Drosophila melanogaster: one gene and its partners. The protein of the gene in region 2 interacts with the protein of the main gene of each other region in a pairwise test. Each region holds a gene or a part of one and is shown on either strand. Other genes may lie near its edges.

Region 1 (5,829 bases), on a different chromosome or scaffold from region 2:
TGTCAGTCATTCTGCGCGTCACTTTGGGATCGGGGGTGCATTGAACTTTTCAGTAGTGCGATACTAAAATGTTAATATAGGCGTCTTAAAAGGATCCTAAACAGTATCTCAAAACACTCCTTTTCTTTCTTTTATCCCAAAATTTAAGGACATGTATACCCGTCTTCTTTGGCCAGTGGAAACTTGTGAAGCTGAAATAATACTAGTTTATGAACTATAATAACTAGTTTTAAGTTGCTCATTCTTATTGCATATGTATATACTACCTATAAATCGAACACCAATAACCTTTATTTGCGGCTTTCCATATGCATAGAGTGCACTTTACCTCCTGGTAGAGAAACAATACCTGTCCATGGGTATGACCACTTATTTTGGGCACTTGTGTGATGTGTGTTGTGTGCTGGTCCTAGTACCGCGATCGGATCCACATCGGATCGTGCGGGTTACGAGGCGACACAATATTGACAGCGGCTGGATCCGTCGATATGCCCAGGGGATTGGCTGGAGTAATTTAATCCTCGCCCAGAACCAAAACCAGAATGCCACGAAGATGTCCACAAAACGCTGCGCACAACACATGCAATGCGAAATGCGAAAATGCGAGTTGCGGGCTGCGAGTTGCGAAATGCGAAATGCGGAGCGAAACATGCATACAGATCACGGCTGGCAGGCCGGATGGTCGACATGGACATGGACGTGGATGTGGATGTGGATATGGATGTGGATGTGGATGTGGATGCCGATGCCTGGGAGCACTGTCAGTCGCCTAATCATCGTAATAATTCGCCTCAACTTCACCCGATGGCAGCGGCAATGGGAAGCCAAGCGGAAATTACCAACACGCGATATTTAATTTTTCCAAAAGGCGAACCAATAATTCGTCTTCATGCCGCTGGATGGCCATCCGTGGCGGCTGCTCTTTCCGCTCCTTCTGCTTCTTGGGCCGCTCCTCTGGCCATGGTGCCATTTTTTCGTGTTCGGCATGACCGATGCCTCCGAAAACGCTTTCCAGGCACCAATCGTCAGGAGCAGGGTAAAAGGAGCAGGGAAAACAGGAAGAGGACTCATTAACGCACAGCCCAGATGCCAGGACCCAAACTCCTCTGCTGACTGCTGACCTCCATCTATGGCACCTATAATGATGCTTCCCTTTCATCATATAGAATATGGAATGTGCTTCGGCACATACATGTATTCATTTGCATGCCAAGTTTAATATTTATCCCTACAAAATAAATGGCAAAAAACCAATGAAGGCGCTTTTTGGTAAAAGAGTTTTACTTCTAATGGAAATTCAAAGTAGGATTCATTAGCATTTTCAAGTTTTTATTTGTTTGCAACTTAAAGATTCAATCGATTTGTGTTTAATTTGCATAATGAATTTAAAATTAGTTTAATGAAATATATTTTTAAAATATGGGTAAAAAGTTGACTATTTGTTTTTCTTGCAAATGCCTGTAAGTTTTATTTAACTTGCGAACGTTTTAAATAAAAACCACATGAATTAATTTAGTTTTGTTATAATTAAATACTTTAATTCTATAGAAAATTCCTGTTTTTCGATAAGCCTTTTGGCGGGTAAGACTTTCATTTTCTTCATAGGTAGAAAATTGACCCATTTTTCTAACCGCTGTAATTGAAAACCCATCAAGTAAAAAAATGTTTTGATCTTGAGAGATTGACACTTGAATTTTATTTTGTTTTGTTAATAAATATTTATTCGTTTCATTAGTAATTAGTTTATATGCTTATTTGAGAGTTACGCAGATTACACAGTAATAAAACAAATCGATTGGAATGGCTGACAAAATGTGCCAACTAATTAAGCTACTTAACACAATTAGTATTTGTTATAATACGTGTAGATGAATTGAATTTGGCTTTCAAACAAGTAGTCACACAGTTGATATTCCTAGTTAATACTAGCTATAGTATGCTGAGCTATTAATACCTGTTGCAGTGATATTAATACGTTAATTGATAAGTACAAATGGCATTTGCATTGCGAAATGATTCGAGTTTCATTAATACTAAAGGTGGCTAATAACAATAAAAATGGATGTATTTACACTATGAACTACAACTACAACTATGCTATAATGTAGGGTGTCTACTGTTCGGCGTCGCTGGACCCGACGCTCTTGTCGGGAGTGTGGGATCTGCTGGACGCCTTGGAGGCGCAGGAGCGCACGGACAGATCCTCCGGCTCGCTGTCGCAGTAGCTTTCGTTGGAGGCCTCACTGTGCGCCAGTGGACTCAGTCGCTTTAGTAGCGCCTCGTTGAAAGGATATGTTTCGAGATCCGGCTCCGATCCGCCGCTGGCCATTTGGTTGGGATTGTAGCTGGGTCCACCTGGTCCTCCGCCGCCGGGCTGCATGGAGGCTGCGGCCGCAGCGAAGGCCAGGAAGTTCAAACTGGCATTGAAGAGCTTGCACCAGTCGAGCAGAGCCGCTCCCTGGTTATCGGTTCCAGTGGGCGGGGCGTTTGCCGGAGTCACTGGTGCTATCACAGGCGCTAGATCCGCAGGATTCGGGAAGGGTGCTGGCAGTAGGGGCATTGTGGTGTCCGAGAACATGGGAGTCTTCGCCTGCTCCGTGACAAGAGCTTGTGGTGCGGAACTGTTGGCCTCCAGGGCATTGTTGTTCTTATCGTTCACTTGCTCCGGCTGATTGGCGGAGTTCACCCGCTTGGCCGGATCCTTGGCCCAGTTCTTAACACTCAGCAAGGGGTAATTGTTTTTGCTGTAATCCTCGGAAGCAGCGGGCGAATCAATCACTTTGTTGTCCTCTGATTTCGGCTGTGCATCTACCAGGACATCGGCAGTCTGTGGGGTGAGTTTGGAGTTGAGCAGGGCCAGAAGATTCAGCTGGTGCAGCATGTTGTTGGAGTAGTCCATCACGCCGGCCTGACCCGGATGCAGTGCACCCTCCGGATGCAATCCACCGTTCTTTTTTACAAATTCCACAAGGCTAAGCTTCTCCAGCAGGGATTCATTTTGCACTGGGTAATCGGCTGGACTGTAGGGCAGTGCACCGAAGCCCAGCTCCTCGTAGTTTGGAGGCAGTGCCACGAACTTCGGTGGCAGCTGGAGCTGCAGCTCGAACTTGGCGCGCTTTTCCGGTGGCGTGTCGAGACCCAGGTGATCGGGGCCCAGCTGGCGGCACATGAAGCGCAGCTTCTGCTCGTTCTTGCACCAGCCACGCAGCGTGGACTCCGGCACTCCGATGTCCCGCGACACACTCGCCTTGGTTTCACCATTGTGGATGCGCTGGATGGCACGCACCTTGTCGTTGGGCGTGAGGTTCCTCAGAGGACGCTTGCCGCGCGTGCTCATCCGGATGTTCATGTGCTGGTAGGCGGAGATATCCATGGTTCTATTTCTGGTTGCGCTGGCGATAGCGATTGCGATTACGATAGCGGTTTCGAAGCGCGGACTTTGCGGATGCGACCACCGGTGTGCACTCCTCGAACTCGCAGAAGGATGTGATTGTGAATCCGATTCCGCGAAAGGCGAGCTGCGAACTGCGAACGGCGACAGGCGAACGGCGACCGCCGAGATGATCCGATGATTTTGCGGCGAAGAGAACGGCATGACGTTTTTCTCGCTTTTTCTCGACCAATCGGAGCAAAGCGCCACTCTCACCTTTCTCTCTCTCTCTCTCTCGCGCGCGCACCCACCACCCACCAGTGCAACAACTTGTTACTCATGTCCTGCTCACGAAATTCGCTCTGTTCGGCTCTCTTAACGGGTTTGATGTCCTGACCATCATTCGCGTCCCTCTTCGCGGGCTGCGTATGTGTGTGGTGGTGTTGTGGATCTAGATATTCAGCATGCAGGATGCACATTTCCAAATCGGCTCCTCCACGTGGCTGCGTGTGTGTGTGTGTATGTGCCCGTGTGTTTATATAAAAACCAGTTATTTACCTCCCATAAACATTCCCTCCTGCGAAAGTGTGTGTGCGTGTATTTGGCCAACCTTCTCGCATTCGCATGTGCGTGAGCGGATCTGATACGGACGTGGACCTGGTTGCACTTTTGGGTTGCGAATCTACCGAGAATAACACAATTCCACTCTATATTATTTGCACTCTCCATCTGTGTGTTTGCACTAATTTCCATGAGTACTCTTTGTCCGTTATTTGTGGTAAATATTTTCATTGCACCCTTATCTTATGAAGATAATAGAAAATATATAGACTAAAAGGTGATCAGGCTAAACTTATTAACACAAGTTTTGAATTCACTGCGTTTTTTTAAATATTTTTATTTATATGTATAAGTGCTCACGAAGTACAATAATATAAAAGAATAGCACATACCTTATATGGAGAACTTGCATAGTTCTTTGCTGATGATTATTCGCACACAAAATTGTTTTAACCTTCATAAAACGATGTAATTCATATAAATATATTATTTATGGATCACTTCTAATTTTTTGATTGCGACTGTATACTAAAAACGTACGTAATGTACATAACACCTTTGTTGGAACACCTTTCTAATTGTAATTCTTTGATTCTACCCCTAATCCAAAGAACTATGTATATGCTGTCAAACACTGTTATTGTTATTAAAATGGATTATAATGTCTCAATGAATCTCGTCGTTTAATTATTGTTTAAACTATTAATGCGTCTGCGCCGTCCACTAAAGAAAAAATAACAAAAGCTTTCAATCTCGAGAAAACTATCAGCATTCTAGAAGAAGAACTGCTTTAAAAGCTTTCAGCCTGGTAAATATACCAAATCATATTATAAATTGCGAAAATTGGCTAAGTACACTTTAAAATAATCATTTTAGAAATGCTAATCCGTTCAATATTCTCCTTAAATAATATCACACATCCCTTTTTTAATACTTTTTTATTGTGTTATTAAAAGACACAGTTTAGAAAGTAAGTAGCCTTTAGTATTTATGTTTGATTTACACATATTTAAATAAATTTTCTATTAACTATAATTTATTAGATTACATCTACTTGTATTGATTAATTTCCGTTTTGCTGTATGTTATAACTATATCATTATTTATTATTAAACAATTTTCATTCAAGTTTATTTGTCACAAAACTGTATTTTAAAATGAATGGATTGTTTTAAATTAAATATGAAACCTACACAATAAATAAACGATTGCAAGCGTACTCAAATCGTAATTATCGATTAAAATTAACAATTTGTTGACATACCGCATTGAGATACTCTTTCTGATACATAAAGTCAAAATAAGTGCACATTTAATGGAAAAATCAAATTGCATTAGATTTATAAGTATTTGCAGTATAAGTATGAGGAAACGGTATTTATTTTAAGTCTCAATTTATACATACATACAAATTTAAATATATACATAACCTATGTTGGCAGTTAGCCCTTACATTTTGTACATACACTTTATTGTTATTATATACATAATTTGTTTCAGTCGAAGGCTTATTAAACTAATTCTGAACGCATACGTCAAATGCACATACCCATATAAGTATATATCTTAATATATACTGCATGCCTTATCTTAACTTTAAACTAAAAAGAGATAACTATTCGGGGGCATCAATGGGAATAAATGCAATCAATTTAATAATAAATAAATAATATTAACTCTTTGGCGGCAAATAAAATATCTGATGGGTGCGTGGATATAATGGAATCTTCGTTTGCCAGTGCCTTCAGCGATATATTCTGTAACTTAGTGTAAGTCTTAAGTAACTTATTGTACCATTCATTAAAATTCGAATAATGATCACCGACATTTTGTAAAATTAGAAAACAATTAAAGTTAATGGAATACGCTATGAAGGTGACTGTGAGTGTGAAGATTCC
Region 2 (6,296 bases):
AGTGATCTTCGTCCGGGGTAACCAGCGGAGGTCTCTGGACGCCGCCCTGGGATTCGCAGCTGGCGTAATGATAGCAGCCTCCTTTTGGTCACTCCTCAAGCCGGCCATCGAAATGGCCGAGAGTTCCCATTTGTACGGAGTATACGCCTTTCTGCCCGTCGCTGGAGGCTTCCTCTTGGGATCGATCTTCGTCTACGGATGCGACAAATTGATGTCATACCTGGGCCTTAACAGCACCAACATGATGATCCAGATGACGCAATCAAAAGCCAAGGCGGACATAGCCATCGAGGACTCTAAGCGCAATGGAGTTGCCCCCGATAGGTTGGCCTCAAAGAGTCTGGACAGCTTCTCCGACTGCCTTAGCGTGCAGCACAGCGGCGAATCGAGACGCCGAAAGAAGGGAGCTAGCATCAACGAGATGGAGCAGTGCACCTACACCACGCCTGAGGAGCAGCAGCGCGCCGAGGACGCCCTGTCCCAGTGGAAGAGGATTATGCTTTTGGTCGTGGCCATCACGGTCCACAACATTCCAGAAGGGCTGGCTGTGGGCGTAAGCTTTGGTGCCATTGGCTCCACGAACTCATCGACATTTGAGAGCGCCCGCAATTTGGCCATTGGCATTGGCATTCAAAACTTCCCCGAGGGATTGGCTGTCAGCTTGCCACTGCATGCCGCAGGATTCAGCGTGAAGCGGGCTCTGTGGTACGGACAGCTGTCCGGAATGGTGGAGCCCATTTTTGGAGTTCTGGGCGCCGTGGCGGTGACCTTTGCCAACCTGATCCTGCCATACGCCTTGTCTTTTGCGGCCGGAGCCATGATATACATTGTGTCGGACGACATTCTGCCGGAGGCTCATGCCAGCGGAAATGGAACGATCGCCACGTGGGGCACTGTATCCGGCTTCCTGATCATGATGTGTCTGGAGGTGGCGCTGTCGTGAGGAACGAACGGCTCGCCTTCGCCCGCCTCGCAGATTTCATAATCTAGTGCTAAACTCAAAGATTCCACTGTACTTAACGCAAAACTCTGCTGTCTTGTAAATAGAAGCATGCTGTGTACAAATCTCAGAACCAGCCCTAAACGAGAATCTAATAATCTAGCGTAGAGTGTAAGTTTTGTAGAAAGAAGCTTGACAACCAGCGATGCCGCGACGACATCCGTGCAATTGTGTATCTGTGCACACGTATCTGTACAGCATTCCCAGCGAGTTATGTAAATGAACTGTTCTAGGAAAATTTGTAAACAAACGTGCATGTGAATTAGGTTTTAAGTTGTCACCGGCGTCCAGTAGCTTGTGTCTTTTTTAACCGTCTAATGTCTAAGTAATAAACTAAACGAATTCAAATGAACATCTCTCAGTTGCACCCACTCGCTTTTTTCCCTCACAAATGTAGCTGTCTCCGTCCGGACAACTTCCTGACCGTTTCTTTGGCCGTACGATAGCTGATAAGGGCAAGTAAATTCACTTAGATAACCCGGAGTGCCAACAACAACAACAGCTGGTTGACTCGCTGTCAGCCAGTGATAAGTGATAAGAATCTGTCCGACACGAAGAGTTCCCAATATTGCGCGTATTCCGTGTTTGAGATACGTGCAGTTTCAGACGGCCCGCGGTCCTGCGTTTCTGTTCGCCATTTTCTGGATTAACTAATCATTTCAGATATGTATGTTTGTACTCGCACAAGTGCTTTGGGCCACAGTCCACCCACTGTGATCGTGGTCATCAGGAAAAGTGGTCGATAAGACCTCTTGCCGGCTATCTGTTGTACAATTTCCATATAGTTCTTTATGTGCGCCATAAAACCATAAACTCGGTATGAATGGCCTATTAGTTGGGGGCATATCTCAAGTGGAGTTAATGCTTCTGTGTCCGCAATGCCATAAATTGATAGTGTCAACGATTAGACTAATTAAAGACCTATTTCTTTTGTAATCGAAGTGTAAGTTAAAGCTGCCATTTCCAACCAAAATGTAATGCAGAGTTGATGAACTCGAAAGTACATTGTCGTCTTAGATCTGATAAAGCTTTTGGGAAGTTGTTAGGCCTAACAAATAATGATATGATAAGAATATTAAAAGTTGTATGAAGACCTTGATAAGTCAACTTTTAATATCTACGTACATACAAGCCTATTTTTGCAATGTGTTATTGGGTATTTTGCAGTGAGCTTAGTATTATGAGAAGGCAAGCTAAATTATAAAGCCGAATGGTGACAATTAAAAGTTATCTTCTTAAGCCCCATTTATCCCCATTTGAATATATAAATAAGATCGATGATGCAACAGAAGCCACAATTAGTAATAACTTACCGGCATTTTGCCAAAGAGCTCGGGATACTCGTACATGCGTATATTGCTGATTGGAAATTGCTTGGGATCGCATATTTTCAGCTGCACCTTGCAAGCTTCAATCCACAGAATGGAAACGACTGGTATATTCCACTCGGTGGCCTTTTTATAGGTGGAGAGCAGGCCATCCTTGAAGACAACGTGTGTGGTGGTTCTACAAGCCAAACGAAAAATGTTTAATTGAATATATTTTAGTCAATCAATTGTAATCCCTTAGCTTACCGCGTTAGGCGATCTTTGACCTGGGCTCCCATCTTGGCAATAATTGATTTTACGCCCTCAGAGCGATTGTCGTTTCCAGTTCGCACCTCCACATATACGACTATGTCCTTGAGCAACTCGGGGAGGGAGGGCGGCTCCTGGGGATTGCGTTCTTCCATCGTGATGATGCTTTGTTCGGCTAAAGGCACATCGAAGGTATTGTATGCCGACTTGGTGGGGCTTCTAAAAATGTATACAATGTAAAAGCGAATGCATTTTTTTTATTATGATCAGTTTCTTCTCAAATCAGATTAGATTGCATTGCAAAACAATAATTAATAATAATAATAATCAATACTTGGTTTTGGCAAAAAAACCTGGCTTGTTAATATAATAGTTATTGATGGATATGGAATTATTAGGGATTGCATCTAAAGAATCTAACTTTACAAAATTAGCGATAAAATGGCTATAAAAGGATGGATTAGTCAAGAATCTGAGCTGTTTTCACTAGTTGACCTTTAGGTTGTATAAATAACAATTGCAATAACCAATTTTTGTCCTTACTTTAATGCACGAATGGCGCGTAATCGGAGTGCAGCGTTGGGGCTGTTGAGATCTTGCTGCAGTCGGGCCCAGTGTCCTTCCTGCCTGGTTGGCGTGGCTGCTCCGATGGGTGGATCTGGTTTTGCTGCAGATCCTTCTGCTCCCGCCTCGTTCTCGTCCTGGTGGAACTCGGAGCGGTGCTGGCTGATCGCTTTGGAGACGGCTAATGCCGGCTTGAGCATCAGCCGATCCCTGGCCGCCTGGTCATCTAGCAGGAGGGAACGCAACTTGTTAGTAATGCTCGGTTCGTTTGTCGACATGGTAATCTGTTTTTTTTTTTTTTTTTTGAATACTACGAATTTTGGGTGAGCTACGTATCCGGAACTAAAACTACTGGGTTGGGTGTTCAAAATGTAAAATAGGCATGCACAGCCAACCTGCCGGGGCCTGGGATAGAGATTTGGGAGACGGTGCCGCTGCTTTGGACCTGAAGTCGCCCAGATTTGAATCGTGCAACGGTCGGCGGGTCGATGACGCCGCTGTTTTCTTGGCAGCTGCGGCGGAACTGGCCACGACCGATCCGTACGTCTTCGTCTTCCACGTGGGATTGCGCAACAGAAACTTGTCCATGGTCACGGGCTATGTTCTCCGCACTCTGGCGCTCCTTATTGCAATGAAGTCGGTCGCAAAACTCTGCAAAAGAGGCGCCAATAATTTTCTAATCCAAACCTCACAAAAAGTGCAACACAATGTGATAGTGTGACCGGGTAACCTCAATGCTACAAGATCACTCACTGGCAATCGGTTATCGTTCTCACCGAAAATCGATTGTTTTTATATGGTCTCCGTTTAGTACATTAAGATTTTAGTTCGATGACGAATTTGGCGGCATTTTATTATGTATTTAATTTAGGAGACAAAAAATCTTGTGATAGCGCAGGTTTACTTTTCACCACCAATGTTTATCTTAGAAAGAGGCAAAGCAGTTTAATAAATTTTAAGTTCCGATATTTAAACACAATTAGTAAATGCAAAAATGTCGGAAAATATATATAGATATAGATATGTTTAAATGTTCTCGTAAATGAAAATCAAACTACACACAATTATACAAAATACCTTTATTATTCAGTTTCAGCAGCGTAGATTGTAACCCGTTTAAAGTAAAACACTTATATTGACTTTCATAACTCTTTTTTAATGCGTACTAATATCGATTACATGTTTTTAATTTGATCTTATTTACATATGAAGTGTATGTACAGAAAAATAATAAGAAAATAATAAATTGAACTTGCCTAAAGTAGCAATTAATTTGCATATGACATTATCTGCCCCCATCCTGAATCTCAGCCAAACTCTCCGTGCGCTTATCGTGGGCTCTAGGACATTCTCTCAGTCTTAAACGATTTAAGAAACTATGGCAAAATTTTAATTACTCATTACAAATTGCATAATCATTAAATCTCTCTGCTTGACTTAAAGTTAACTGCGGTTAATTAGAGTTAGTGCGTATTAAGTGACGTACGCTAAATGGCTGCATTTCGCTGCATTTATCACAAAACTGAGCGAAATGCACTCCACAGTGATCCAGTGAATCGATGATCCTTCACTGACCAAACTTAATCGTAGGCTTTGACTAAATAATTTTAGAATTAACGCTAGACGATGAATAAATTAGGGCCAGCCAAAGTGATCATTCTGAAATGGCGAAATGTTCTGATTAACTGAGATACACTTAACAAATTAAGTGGTCACTTACCATGTGCGCTGATCAGACTACGTGCATCCCAGAGGGACATTTGCGACTGGGAGAGACGGTGCTGCGGTGGATACAGTTTGTAGGGGAAGTACGAGTGGTGGAATGTGGCAATGGGAATGGGTTGCGCCGGCTGCAGGAACTGCTGTTGCTGGTGCTGTGCCGAGATCTTCCGCGAGATCTTTGGCTCCTTCTTGGGCTTGCTGGCTCCTCCAGGGCACGGCTGCTTCGAGGACTTGATGAAGTTGGGAATACGCGCCAAGAGTCCGCAGTAGTACGGATCATCCTGCTTCTTCCGCTGCTGCGACCCGCTGCTCTTCTGTCGCTTCTTGTCCGCATATATGGGCGTCAAAGATCCGCCAGATTCGTAGTCGGGCTGCAAAGTGTAAAAAGCAAATAAGAATTATTAGGCTAAGTTTTTTTTCCCAAACAGGTTAAAAGGTTTGAAGTCCCAAATTTTTCAGGTAGAATGTAATCTAGGTTAGAACCCACCTTGGGCACATATGGACCCTCGTTGAGGAAGGCGGCACTAAAGATGCTGCGCCGTCCCTTGCTGGAGTTGCTCGAGTGCTGGGAGTTCTGGGAATCATCCGACGCGGCGGGCGTAGGATAGATCAATCCCACTTGGCTTTCGATGGTGGAGTATGGATCCTCGCTGCTGTTCGTCAGCGGCACTCGCATGCCCATCGCATCCAGTGACTTGGGAATCGTTTGGAGGCGGCTCCTCAGCATGTCCATGGCCACCACGTTGACCACGAGTATCCAGACCGGAGAGTTGATAAGATTGTTGTTCGACTTGACAAGCGATACGGCGGACAGGCACTGCCGTTCCAGTCTTCCGCGCTCCGGATAAGTGCGGGCAAACTCGCGGTTTATGTTCGTCTGGAACTTCTTCATATCAAAGAGTCGAGCGGAGGTGGCCGCGGTGAGGGACATCTGCGGCATTTGGATTATGTCGCCACCGATCACCGTCTCCTCGTTGCCCTGCGATGTGCTGTTCACGTAGATGCTGCTCTTGCCATACCGCTTGATGAATATGTTGCCGGTGTCGTCCATTTTGATCTTGAATCCATCGCCGATGGACTTTTTGATCACCTTCGTCTCCGCATCGCGCATCGGATTATCGAAGCCATTCAGCCCAATACTGTGGATTTAGCCATATTAAATAAGTTGTTCTTAATAGTCAAATATTAAGTTCAAACTCACCGCACTCCATCGAATCCATTCTTAGATCCATTTATGGTTATCACAGAGGAGCGGGCGTAGGCCTTGGCCACTCGCCGATTTTTCTCGAAGACAATTATCTTGGCCCAGATCTCGTCGTCGATTTGCTCCCACTTGGACAGAACCTCGTTGATGTGATCCTGCGTGGTGTCAATAGGTATGGATAATGGATGAGCTAGAGATCAAATGAGTTATAATGGACAGGAAACGCACC
Region 3 (5,156 bases), on a different chromosome or scaffold from region 2:
CGGTGTCTTCAACTCAATCGGAAATGCATTTCTTCATTGTAAGCCCTCTAGTGTCAGCCGAGGTGTCCAAGCACCAATAGTAATGACTTAGTTTTATAGGTGCCGTGCCTCCTAGGACTTGCAGCCGGCATTCCTCAAGGATACAACTACCAAGCCCAGCAACAGCTTCAATCGTCGGCGCAAGCTGGTCAACTCCATCTGCCTTCTATTCCGCAGTTTGCCACCCTTGCGGAGCAGACGATCCTTCAGCAGGCACTCCAGGCTCCAAAGTTGCAGCAGGTCCTGACCGGAGGAGAAGGGCTCGCATCTTACTCAAATCAAAACCAGGCCTCCGCTTACCAACAGCAGGCGACGCAGTTCGGCCCAAATTCGGCGTACAATGCGCTGCCCCAGGCACATCAGCCTCAGCAGCAGCACCTCGTCTCCAAGGACATCTACGTCCATGTGCCACCAGCAGAAGAGCCCGAGGACCGCTACCCTCAGCCCGTCCTTCCGCCCGCGCCTCCGCGCAAGCATTATCGCATAGTTTTCATCAAGGCACCGACGACCAGTGTCTCGAAGGCGGCGTTGCGCATCAAACAGGCTCCTGTGGAGGAGAAGACCATCATCTATGTGCTGACCAAGAAGCCGGACCCACTAGATCTCCAGACTGCCATCGAGGAAATCGCGCCGAAGCAGCCCAGCAAGCCAGAGGTATTTTTCATCAAATACAAGACCCAGGAGGAAGCTGCGCATGCGCAACGTACCATTCAAGGTGAGCAACACCCGCATCGAGCAGATGCTATGAGACACACTTGAAGACCTCATCAGTATGCAACAGACCTCAAATGTTTCGATTTGCAAGCTTCATAGAAATGTCTATCGACCAATTAATCTGGCTTGTCCAAATTTTTATTACCCGATTTTTAACCGATTTACTTCTTTTAGCTCAATATGACCAGCTTGGCGGAACATCACAGGTTTCTGACGAGGGAGTTGCACCCGTTACATCCGTGATTGGCGTACTGGACAACCAGCGCAACAACGGAATTTCATCCGGACAGTTTTCTGGCTCCTTGCCAAACAGCTACTTGCCAACTAATCTGCGTGCTTAGGTACAACTCCAAGGCCACTGTCGTAATTTTAAGACTTGAACTCTTGTAATTTACACATTTAGTTAAATAAAGTTCATATTTTGAGCTCCGCCTTATGATAGAAAGCGACTCTGCAGCCATATTCAAATATGAAATCGAGTTTCAATACTTCAAAGTAACAAAATAGTTTTCTATGGACCATGTTACCACATCCATTAGTCCAATGACAGCCATCCAAGCCGAAAACCGGTCGCATAAATTAGCATGTGATTTGACTTACATAACAACGATTAAGCCACACGAAAACTTGATTATTATGGCTGTTGGCTTAATGCCAAAAGAGATGGTCCAAACTTTCTTGCGAGAAAGAAGTCATTGTCATAGTCTCTTAGCCCATTGAAACATTTTTGTGATAAAAATAAACAGCGTTTTCATAAGAAACATTAAACTCAAGCTATGCCTTAAATGAAAGATTAATTCCAAATCCTAAAACAAAACCTATCTAAAATATTAAAAGGATTAAACTTAAAAACGAGTACTAGAAACAGAAGGCTTTTTGGGTTTCGATTTAAATTTTTTTATATTTCTTTCGACTTTCGACTTTTGCATTAAAAATAAATTAAAATTTACTACAGTATGATGGTTGATATAAAACAATGAAAGCGATAGGATTCTTACTACAACTTTTTAAAAAGTCTTTGCCGGCACATACTTCCTTGATGGCGCCGAGGGAGCGAATGAGGAGGTGGACTTCTGCACAAAGGAGCTCTGCTGCTGGACCCCCTGGACCCCCTGGTTAATAGACTGCAGCTGAACAATGGGCTGACCCTGTGGCTGGATAATGGTTGGCGCCTGAGAGTGGATGATGGTTTGGCCAGCTTGGGAGTGCTGGGGCACAAAGCTGCCCAGGTTAAGGGAGCCACTCGAAACGCTGGCGATGGGAGCCACTCCCTCGTCCGAAATGTGGGTTGCACCTCCCAAGGCGTCGTACTGGGCCTGGATTTCCTGCTGGGCGCGCTGGGCCTCTTCCTGGGTCTTGTACTTAATGAAGTAGACCTCCGGCTTTTGAACCTTGGCCTCAGACTGGGTAACCTGCAGCTGCTGCTGGATCTCAGTGAGATCGGGCTTTTTAGAGAGCACGTAGATGACGGTCTTTTCCTCGTTGCTTGACTGGGCCCGCTTCAGGGCCGCGGCGGTATATTTCAGATTCTGGGAAGGCGCTTTAATGAAGACGATCCGGTAGTTCTTGCGGATGGGCACATTCTCCAGAAGTGGCTCGTCCTGCCGCAGTTCCTCATTCTCCTCGGGGGCGGAGTGGATGTAAATGTCCTTGGTAACGATAGCGGGGCGCTGGACGAACTGGGTCTGAAGGGCTTGCTGCGGTTGCTGCTGGTACACGATTTGCTGAGGCTGCTGCTGCACAGTGCTGATCAGGTTTTGCTGGGGCGAAGCAGTAAGGAAAGTCTCCTTTGGGAGTGAGATCGACAAAGGAGCGGGAGCGGGGGCGGGAGCAGGAGCGGCAACGATGGTCTGCACGGCTTGAATGGCTGGCTGGACACCGATCGCGGGCTGAGCACCGGCCTGTGGGAAAGATGGGACGGCGCCACTTGCGTATATTCCACTTGACGAAATGGGTGTCAGAGGACGAAGATTGCCAATGGGAAGGGCTGGCAGCTGAGGTTGGTACTTGTATCCCTGAGGAGCTGTTGCTGTGAGGGCCACCAGGCACTGCAAGAGCACATTAAGTGTTAGTTGTTGCGGGGATCGCTCATGTGCCAGTTGCTTACCATTAGAACAACGAACTGCTTCATTTTCACTTTGAACTGTCTGAGCTGCTAGGGTCGAATGATGCCCTGCCTTCCCATTGCTATGTTTTTATATCTGTCCAGGCTGGCATCGTTTTCCCAATAAATGAAAAAATTATTAGGCACTACCATAAATCGTATGAATCTATTATAGACTTCACAACTTCGAATATGTAACGTTTCACATTGGCGGTTGCCAAATCACAGATCCGTGTGCGCAGATGCACTGCTTGAACAGTCCGGGATCTTATCTAACTTGGCGACCAACGCTGCGTTCAAATTTAAATAATCGCTTGAGATCCCCATTGTCAACGCTGAATATATTTATATGCAAAATATTAATAGGTAAAGCGGTTCGATTGACAAAACTGGGATAATATGAAGAAAGTAAGTTTTATGGACGGAAACCCAATTTATACACATTCATGACCAAAATTGTGGGAAGCGATCTATCTGCATATAAAATTCGCTTTGTCGCAGATGTTGTATAAATGAATTTGTTATTAAACAAGTCTTTTCAAAAATGCAGAAAAACCAATAAGCTCAAAGATATTTGTGAAAATATGCTCAGTTCTTCAGAAATATAGCACTTCATGGCTTGAATCCAACCTGGAATCATGCTAACAATACTATTGTTATGGGTAATGCTTTTACTTGCTAGTTCAATTGTTTTCTACTTGCACAACGGTAATTGGAAATAATGGGCAATAACGGTAATGGAAATAACGGACAGACGTTCATGGCCAGATCGACTCGGCTATTGATCCTCATCGAGAATATATATACTTTATATGGTTGGATCTGCCTGTTACATAATTTTCAACGAATCTAGTATACCCTTTAACTCTACGAGTAATATAAATATTCTTATAAAGTGTGGTAAAGCGAATTTTGGTCGGCAGTTGAGCGTTAATTAGGCGAGTCGATGTTTTTAAGTTTCAATCGAAAACATTCCAAAAATCAAGTTTTCATTTGACGAAATGAAATAAATTGCCCGTTACTCAGCTAGAGGGAGTGCGAACGAGTAATCGCAACATTTTTTGGGCGGTTTGTTAGCGTTAAAGTGGAGGCAAAACAACATGCCAAAAACCCATCGAAATTGGCAGGAAAAAATTAAAAATATGTTATTTACAATTTTGAACAGTGTGGCAGCTTTTGGCGATTTGTGGGTGTTTGATCTAATCCATCCAGCTTTTATAGAACAGACAGACATGGCCAGATCGACTCGGCCATATGAACGTCGAGATCTCAGGAACTATAGAGGCTAGAGAGTTGAGATCATGTACATAGACGCAGCTTTTTGCCTTGTTAAATTTATTAAATTTTTCCTCAGTTTATTCTCCAATATCTATCGAAATACCAGAAAAGTGGTGAATTGATCTGAGTAACGGGTATCTGATAGTCGGGGAACTCGACTACAGCATTCTTTTTTGTTTTTTGTTTTTACGACTATTAAATACCATAAGTAAGGGGAATTTTATGGCCTGTACAGTTTTGTCGGTACAAAAAACGTTATCTAAGCATGCATAGAATTAAAAATGCCGTTATGTTTTTTAAATAAAGTTGTTTAGCACAAATTATTATTATAGAAAAAACAGATTATCATTGATTCCTATACATATTGTGGTCCCCGTGGCACATTCTTTTTCACTACGTGGACTACGTCCGTAATGATTGCATATAGTCACGGCTAATCTCCTTTCCCGGTAACACGACATTGAAACATAGTGTTATACCAAAGGCACTAATGTCTTCGGTTATATCTTATACTGATTATTTTGCGTTTAAACTAATACTTTTCATGAGAAGGTGGCAAGTACGGGCTTGTCGACGGTGCGTTTACCTTGCGAACGAACGCATTCCCGTCGTCAGTTCCACTTGAAATGACCTTAGACGCAAAGTCCAAGACGGAGACCGAGGCTCCACCGTTGTAGTTGGTTGAAACTCCCGGTAGCAAGTCATACTGGGCTTGGATAGTGCGCTGGGCGTTCTTCGCGTCGCTCTGCGTTCAATACTTCACAAAGTGAACCTCGGGCTTGCGGTTTTTGTTGTTGTTACGGATAGTATTCAGGTTGGTGATCCACTTGCCAATGTTCTCCTGCTTGTTGAGCACGTAAATGGCGATGCGGTCGGCGGACGCGGAGGTGGCCAGCTGGAGCGCCGCCTGCTCCAGTCCCTTGTTATCGGGATCCTTGATAAACAACACAAGCACGTTCTTCTTTATCAAGTGAGCGATCTGCTCGTTGGGGTGGTCATCAAATTCGTGCTCTGGAGCACT
Region 4 (5,683 bases), on a different chromosome or scaffold from region 2:
TCGGATCATCCTGCATAATTTACAATTAGCCCGGCCAGGCATGGTTGTCAACGAAAGCAAAATGGATGGAAAACTTAGGAGATAAGACCTGCTTAAGTCCATTTCATGCAACACATTCAACGACACCATGGACAACGTTGCGTATGTGTTATGTTATTTATGTCCAAGTAAACTTGTGCAGCTGCAACACAAGAAACTGCTGATTGATGATGCTGCCGGAAAGGCATAAGGATAATGCAATTCAAATTTGTTGAGAAATTTCATTTTTATCAGTTTTTGAGTTAAAGTGACTGGCTCGTGTCCTGATAAATCTAATTAGGCACATCAGCCAGGTGTTACCAAAATATATTGACTATAACAGGAATGTTGGTCTAAAACTCGTCCGTGAAATATAGTCATGTGTCGGAAGCTAATCCCCACCAGAACCGAACCAGCGACCAGATGTGTGAAACACAGCCAAATGCTAACAAGCGGAAACAACAAGCCATTTGCCGGCGGAGAGGACAAGCTGATTAGCAGGTAAACAAAGCTCATTACAACTCACCTGGTGCAGCGAGGCACTGAGATTGGACTGGAGCTACCCTCGAGGGGATTGCACGTCGTCGAGACTGCCAATGTCAATGCCAATGCCAGATGTAATGACCTGAAACAATGGCCCACAATTTCACTTGCAATCACTCACTTTTCGTATTGCGTATACGCACTGTTGGACGCGTGATTAAAGTCGCAATTCATTAATTGTTTACCGTTTACCGATAGTGTTTTCGCTGCTTATGACCACTCGCTAAATTGAATGGACCGAGTGTTTTCAATGGGCTTATAAGTTTGAATACGTTGAATACGCTAACCAGACGGAGACGACCGACATAAAGTGAAGGAACACGCCCACCTACGATGCGACTCGCGCGAGCACAGAAAGCGAACTGAGTGTGCAGCCGGATTTTTCATCCGGACTGACTGATCAAACGGCCACGAAACTCGGGCACGAACCCGAAAGGCAGTTCCTCGTACTCCTTTTCCCGGCTTTTCCATCCACATGTTGCAACATAGCTCTGCGCAGGCAGCAACTGTTGCTTTTGGCGGGAAGTCTCAGCAACATGTTGCTCCGGCCTCTTCCCTCTAAGTGCTTTGCCATTTTGGCCATTACTTTACGATTTTTCTATGAGCACAGCAATGAGGAAAGCCGTCGAAATTGGGCCTACAGCCGAAATCAACAAAACGTAACGCAATTAAGCAGGCTGTAAATTTGCCAAGGTCACGACTTCACACAGGGTCAATTATCATATTAGGCGGCATGAGCCATCATTAAATCATTGAAATGCGAAATCCATTGTTGTTCCACTGTGTTTTATCCGAATTAACTGGACCATTTACTAAGCTTAAAGAAAGTGTATAAAACTTTTGAGGAATATTCCACACTAAAAGGCCATTTAGTTTTTTTTTTATAAATTTGATATTTATTATCTACTCTTTATTAAAACAAATGTAACAAGTTATACAAACGAACAAACAACGAGATGTGCATGTGGGGAGGTTTGGCACGTGTGCATGTGTGAATTGGGAACAGGGGATTGGGAAGAGGTGCATCCAATGGACATTAGACTATGACAAACTGTGAAATTGGCTAAGGCATCACCATCTCAAAGCAGCGGGCTTCACTTCAGCTTCTTAAGGAAGTAGCGGTTGGGAGGACCGTAGCTGGTGGCAGGCACATGGGAAGGAGCCAGTCGCTGCTCGGGCTGTTCCTCCACCACGATGGGCGCCATTGAGGGCTCCTCAATGGCCAGGGCGGCGGGAGCGGTGGCAGGGGGCAGATACTGGTTGGCAGGAGCGGACAAGGTGGTCTGAACCTCCTCACCAGTATAGGCAGCTGCAGTGGGTGGTCCGTAGACCGCGGAGGGAATGGCTGGCTGCTCTACTTCCGGCTCGGGAGCAGGAGCCAGGGTGGTGGGTGGCAGGACATCGGCGACCTCAGCCAATGGAGCGAAATCCTCGGCGGTGGCCTGACGGGGCTCCATCTCTGCAGGTGGGGGTCCATAGACGGGGGCCTCGTCCTTCTTGGTCTTGTACTTGATGAAGTAAACCTCTGGCTTCGATGGCTTGGTGGGTGGTGGCGTCGGGATCACGATATCTTGCTCCTGCTCGGGCTTCTTGTGCAGCACATAGATCAGAGTCTTCTCCTCATTCTGGGGTGGTGGTGGCACAACTGGCTGACGGATAGCCGGAGCAGATGGTGCCTTGATGAACACGATCTTGTAGTGCTTCTGCTTGGGTCCCTGCTGGTGGTGAACTCGGGTCTGGATGGCATCCTCCTCCTCGAAGTCCTTTGGCGGCACATGGACGTAGATGTGCTTGTGCACCTTGGTCTCCTGGGGGCCATTGTTGTAGCCACTGGCATGCTGCACTCCGGACAGGCGGTGGGCCATGTTGTAGCTGTCATCGTAGGCATTCAGGGGCTCAGCGGCGGCGGCAGTGGGAGCCACTTGCTCGATGGCATCCAGATGCATTTGGGGTGGCAAGTAGGTCTGCTGGGGCGGTGCAAAGTTGGCAAACGACTGCTCCTGGGGCAGAGGCTGGTAAATCTGCGGGGGAACGGGGTGAGCTGTCCAAAAAGAAAGATTAATAAGATTAAGATAAATATATGGAGTTAATATATCTACATTTGCTGAATTATATTACTATAATCAATGTTTAATCTAATCTTTAATAGTTGTCATGCTCATAAGACTTTAGCAAAAATCTGTGTCACATAAATAGCTTTAATCTTTTTCGCTTTAATTTCCTATAATGTTTCTATTTCATCCTCCGCCCACTTACCATTGAGTGGCAAAGCCCGCTGGCTCTGCTGCTGAGGCAATCCGTGGTAGGAGTACGGGGATGGGGGCTCAGGACGACCCAAAGTGGTGGCCACCAGGGAGGCCACGCACACAACGAACAGCGAGGAGACACGCATTTTGCTTCTGGTAATCGGAAATCCTTTGCTGCTTAGTAAGCCCGTAATCCTTTGGCTCGATGAAATGCTTCGATGGAGAAGCTCGATGCTCGACTGATGCTGACTTGGCCGCCGCGGTCCGAATTTATATGATTCGATGTCCGCAGCTCCGAGTGCTCAAAGTCTCATTACAAAAGGTAAACGAAATAAACGAAAAAATGAATTTAATTAAGCATCAAAAGAGACGCGAAGAGCTTCGGATGAACTTGGCCAAAAGCGAGTAGAAGGCGGCGCAGAGCAAAGATACGGATACGGATGCAGAGAGAAGTCTGCGACACGTGTCTTTTGGGTTCACAAGCGAGAAATTGGAGCAAACCCGTCTGCAAAACGAATCTCCCAGGAGGGGGCAACCCCATAGTCCACAATCAATGCCCTGGGCCAACGCGAAAAAATGTTTGCCCAAATCGTTATGTGTAACACTCTCCGCTGAGTATCTCGTATCTGGTATCTTGTAGCTCGTAGCTCGTAGCTCGTATCTCATATCTCGCATCTGAAAGATGCAGCAGCCGCAACCTTCGGCCAAGTGCGCCAAGTGTTATTTTCACAATTGGAGCGCACTTAAATTGCTGGCTCGAAATCGAAAGTGACCCACGATTACACACTCGACCGAGTCCCATTGATGAACTTCATTCATGTGACGCCTCGAGGAACTTGTTTGTCCAGTTTGTACTTCCTCGACAGCCGGGTCATGTGATTCCCCGGCAATCCAGTCAAGGGATAATCCATTTTTTCGCATGATTAGCAAGGAATCTAAATAGTGAACGGGAAATACGAAAACAACGTGTTGTGCTAGGACATTAAGCCAAGTATACATTAAATGTGTAACTTAGTAAATTTGTAAAACAAAGTTGCAGGTTTATTATGCTTTCAGCTTTAGTATTTTTCTTTATAATTATTTCTACTCATTCTTAAGTATCATTAAGCTTCAATGTTGTCTCATTGCATATGGAACTAACAATAGTTACTTTAAAAGATCCCAGTCATTGCATACAATACAATGCATTTTAACCCATTCTTAAACCCTAACAAATTCGTTTATAAACCTATAAATACACGCAGTCATCAGACCAAAAATAACACAATAACGAAGGGCTTTTCAAGGCCAGTTCCAAATTTCCCCCGAACTGTCAACCGTTGACGGCGGACACTTTCAACACCTACGATAACAATTACGAAACAATCGTAACAAAATCAAAATCAAAATCAATTTTCAAATTGAAGCCAAACATTAAGCGTCGAAAACGAAAACAATAAGTAATAAAACAAAACAGCAGCTACCCAAATAAAGTGAATAGCGAGCGGCATTTAATTGGATTTGCTGCACACAGCCATTGGTTCGAAAGTAAATAGACCGCCAGTACCCACTATCCAATACCCAGTAACCAACCAGTAACCAGCTGAATCGAGACGCTTGTCCACTTGCTGTCCACACACAGAAATCATTAATTGTAATTGCAGCCGACGCATCTCGACGCAGCGAGGTGGAGAAATGTCGAGTGGCTGTGCGGACACATGTAGCTTATGGCTATAACTACATCGACATGGCTATAAGGCGGCACAAGAAGTTGGGGGGCGTACGTAATGGCAACAGGGTTTTGGAGCTTTACGTCACCGTTCGATCGATTGGAAATTGGTGCACTTGGCCACCGAAGAAGAAGCCTAACGAGTCAAGCGCTGTCAACGGGAAGAAGGGTCCGGACTCAAAAAATAAAATCAGGGATGCAACTTAATTTAAACATATACATAAGTAAATAGTACATTGAAACATGGCATAGAAATTGATAAAATTGTTCAAAAATATCAGTAAAAATGTGCAAAATTATCCGTAAACGAGGTCAAAATATAGATTGTCATACCTTGCTGGACTCGTAAAAACATGCTTAATCGTTTGGCATTCAAGAATGAAAAAAAAATTTTTTGTCAATTTTTGCGAAAAATTACGATGTTACCCCTTATAAAAAATGGAAAATTTTGACAAAAAATTTAATTTCTGGAATCAAATCAAAAGTGATTGCGTTGGTTTGCTGAGGTCTTTAGCTCTCTAAAAAGGTGTTTTTCTTAGCTGTGGCTGCCATTTTGGCCGAGTTACAAGCTTAAGCCCATCAAATGTATAAGTACAAAAAGAAAAACTTGGTGAAAATCTGATCTTTAGTGATGAGATAAAAAAATTTGACAAATTTATTTAAGGTAAATTATATTGACTACAAGAACAGTTTTTATTCCATCCCTGGTCAAGAGAAAGACCAAAGGAGCTGCCGCAGATTGTGTCATCAAGGGTTCGAAATTTGGTGAAAATCAGGTCAACAGTGCAGTAGCACGTCCATCGATGAGTTATTGATTTGTGTCGAATACTCGATCTCCTGCCCTTCTCCTCGTGGCATTGGCTTAGTCTTGTTTTTCGATGCCCTTCGATCGCTTCAAATTGACATTGCCGGGGAGCTGCGTCCCTCTTGGGGGGAATTTCCATCGCAGCAGCTTAAAATAGACGAAGCGACCGGGGATGCGCCACTTGACTTGCCACTTGTTGCATTCAAGTGCCACGAACAGCAAAAGCCATAGAAGAAGCACAGCGGCCAACACGAATGGGGCAGATACTTTGGGGCTTTGTCATTGAGATGTGAACCCACAAGTCGATTAGTTGGCCAATGGCAGTGAAGAGGCGCATTCCATCGCCAGCGAAGAATGCGTAGG

Evidence for each region.
Region 1: the proteins of MCPH1 (region 2) and danr interact in a two-hybrid assay, tested with the Drosophila melanogaster proteins (one large-scale study listed by BioGRID).
Region 3: the proteins of MCPH1 (region 2) and TwdlF interact in a two-hybrid assay, tested with the Drosophila melanogaster proteins (one large-scale study listed by BioGRID).
Region 4: the proteins of MCPH1 (region 2) and TwdlC interact in a two-hybrid assay, tested with the Drosophila melanogaster proteins (one large-scale study listed by BioGRID).

Annotation. Positions count from the first base shown.
Region 1 is NT_033777.3:25,135,777-25,141,605, reverse strand, and holds danr (distal antenna-related), read right to left. Parts: upstream 3,535-5,829; 5' UTR 3,374-3,534; coding exon 2,114-3,373; 3' UTR 1,703-2,113; downstream 1-1,702. UniProt on the Drosophila melanogaster protein: Probable transcription factor with a role in the retinal determination (RD) network. Regulates ato expression and is required for normal R8 induction and differentiation.
Region 2 is NT_033778.4:11,900,045-11,906,340, forward strand, and holds the start of MCPH1 (microcephalin), read right to left. Parts: upstream 3,875-6,296; 5' UTR 3,730-3,874; coding exon 3,537-3,729; intron 3,495-3,536; exon of another isoform or gene 3,420-3,494; coding exon of another isoform or gene 3,368-3,419; coding exon 3,121-3,367; intron 2,797-3,120; coding exon 2,575-2,796; intron 2,507-2,574; coding exon 2,314-2,506; intron 1,351-2,313; exon of another isoform or gene 944-1,350; coding exon of another isoform or gene 1-943. Other genes in the region: Zip48C (Zinc/iron regulated transporter-related protein 48C), read left to right, coding at 1-943; reb (rebuf), read right to left, coding at 4,796-4,800, 4,862-5,234, 5,351-6,002, 6,065-6,222, 6,296-6,296.
Region 3 is NT_033777.3:4,244,789-4,249,944, reverse strand, and holds TwdlF (TweedleF), read right to left. Parts: upstream 2,926-5,156; 5' UTR 2,885-2,925; coding exon 2,861-2,884; intron 2,802-2,860; coding exon 1,761-2,801; 3' UTR 1,632-1,760; downstream 1-1,631. Other genes in the region: TwdlG (TweedleG), read left to right, coding at 24-38, 100-754, 928-1,094.
Region 4 is NT_033777.3:26,992,204-26,997,886, reverse strand, and holds TwdlC (TweedleC), read right to left. Parts: upstream 3,056-5,683; 5' UTR 2,954-3,055; coding exon 2,818-2,953; intron 2,603-2,817; coding exon 1,656-2,602; 3' UTR 1,445-1,655; downstream 1-1,444.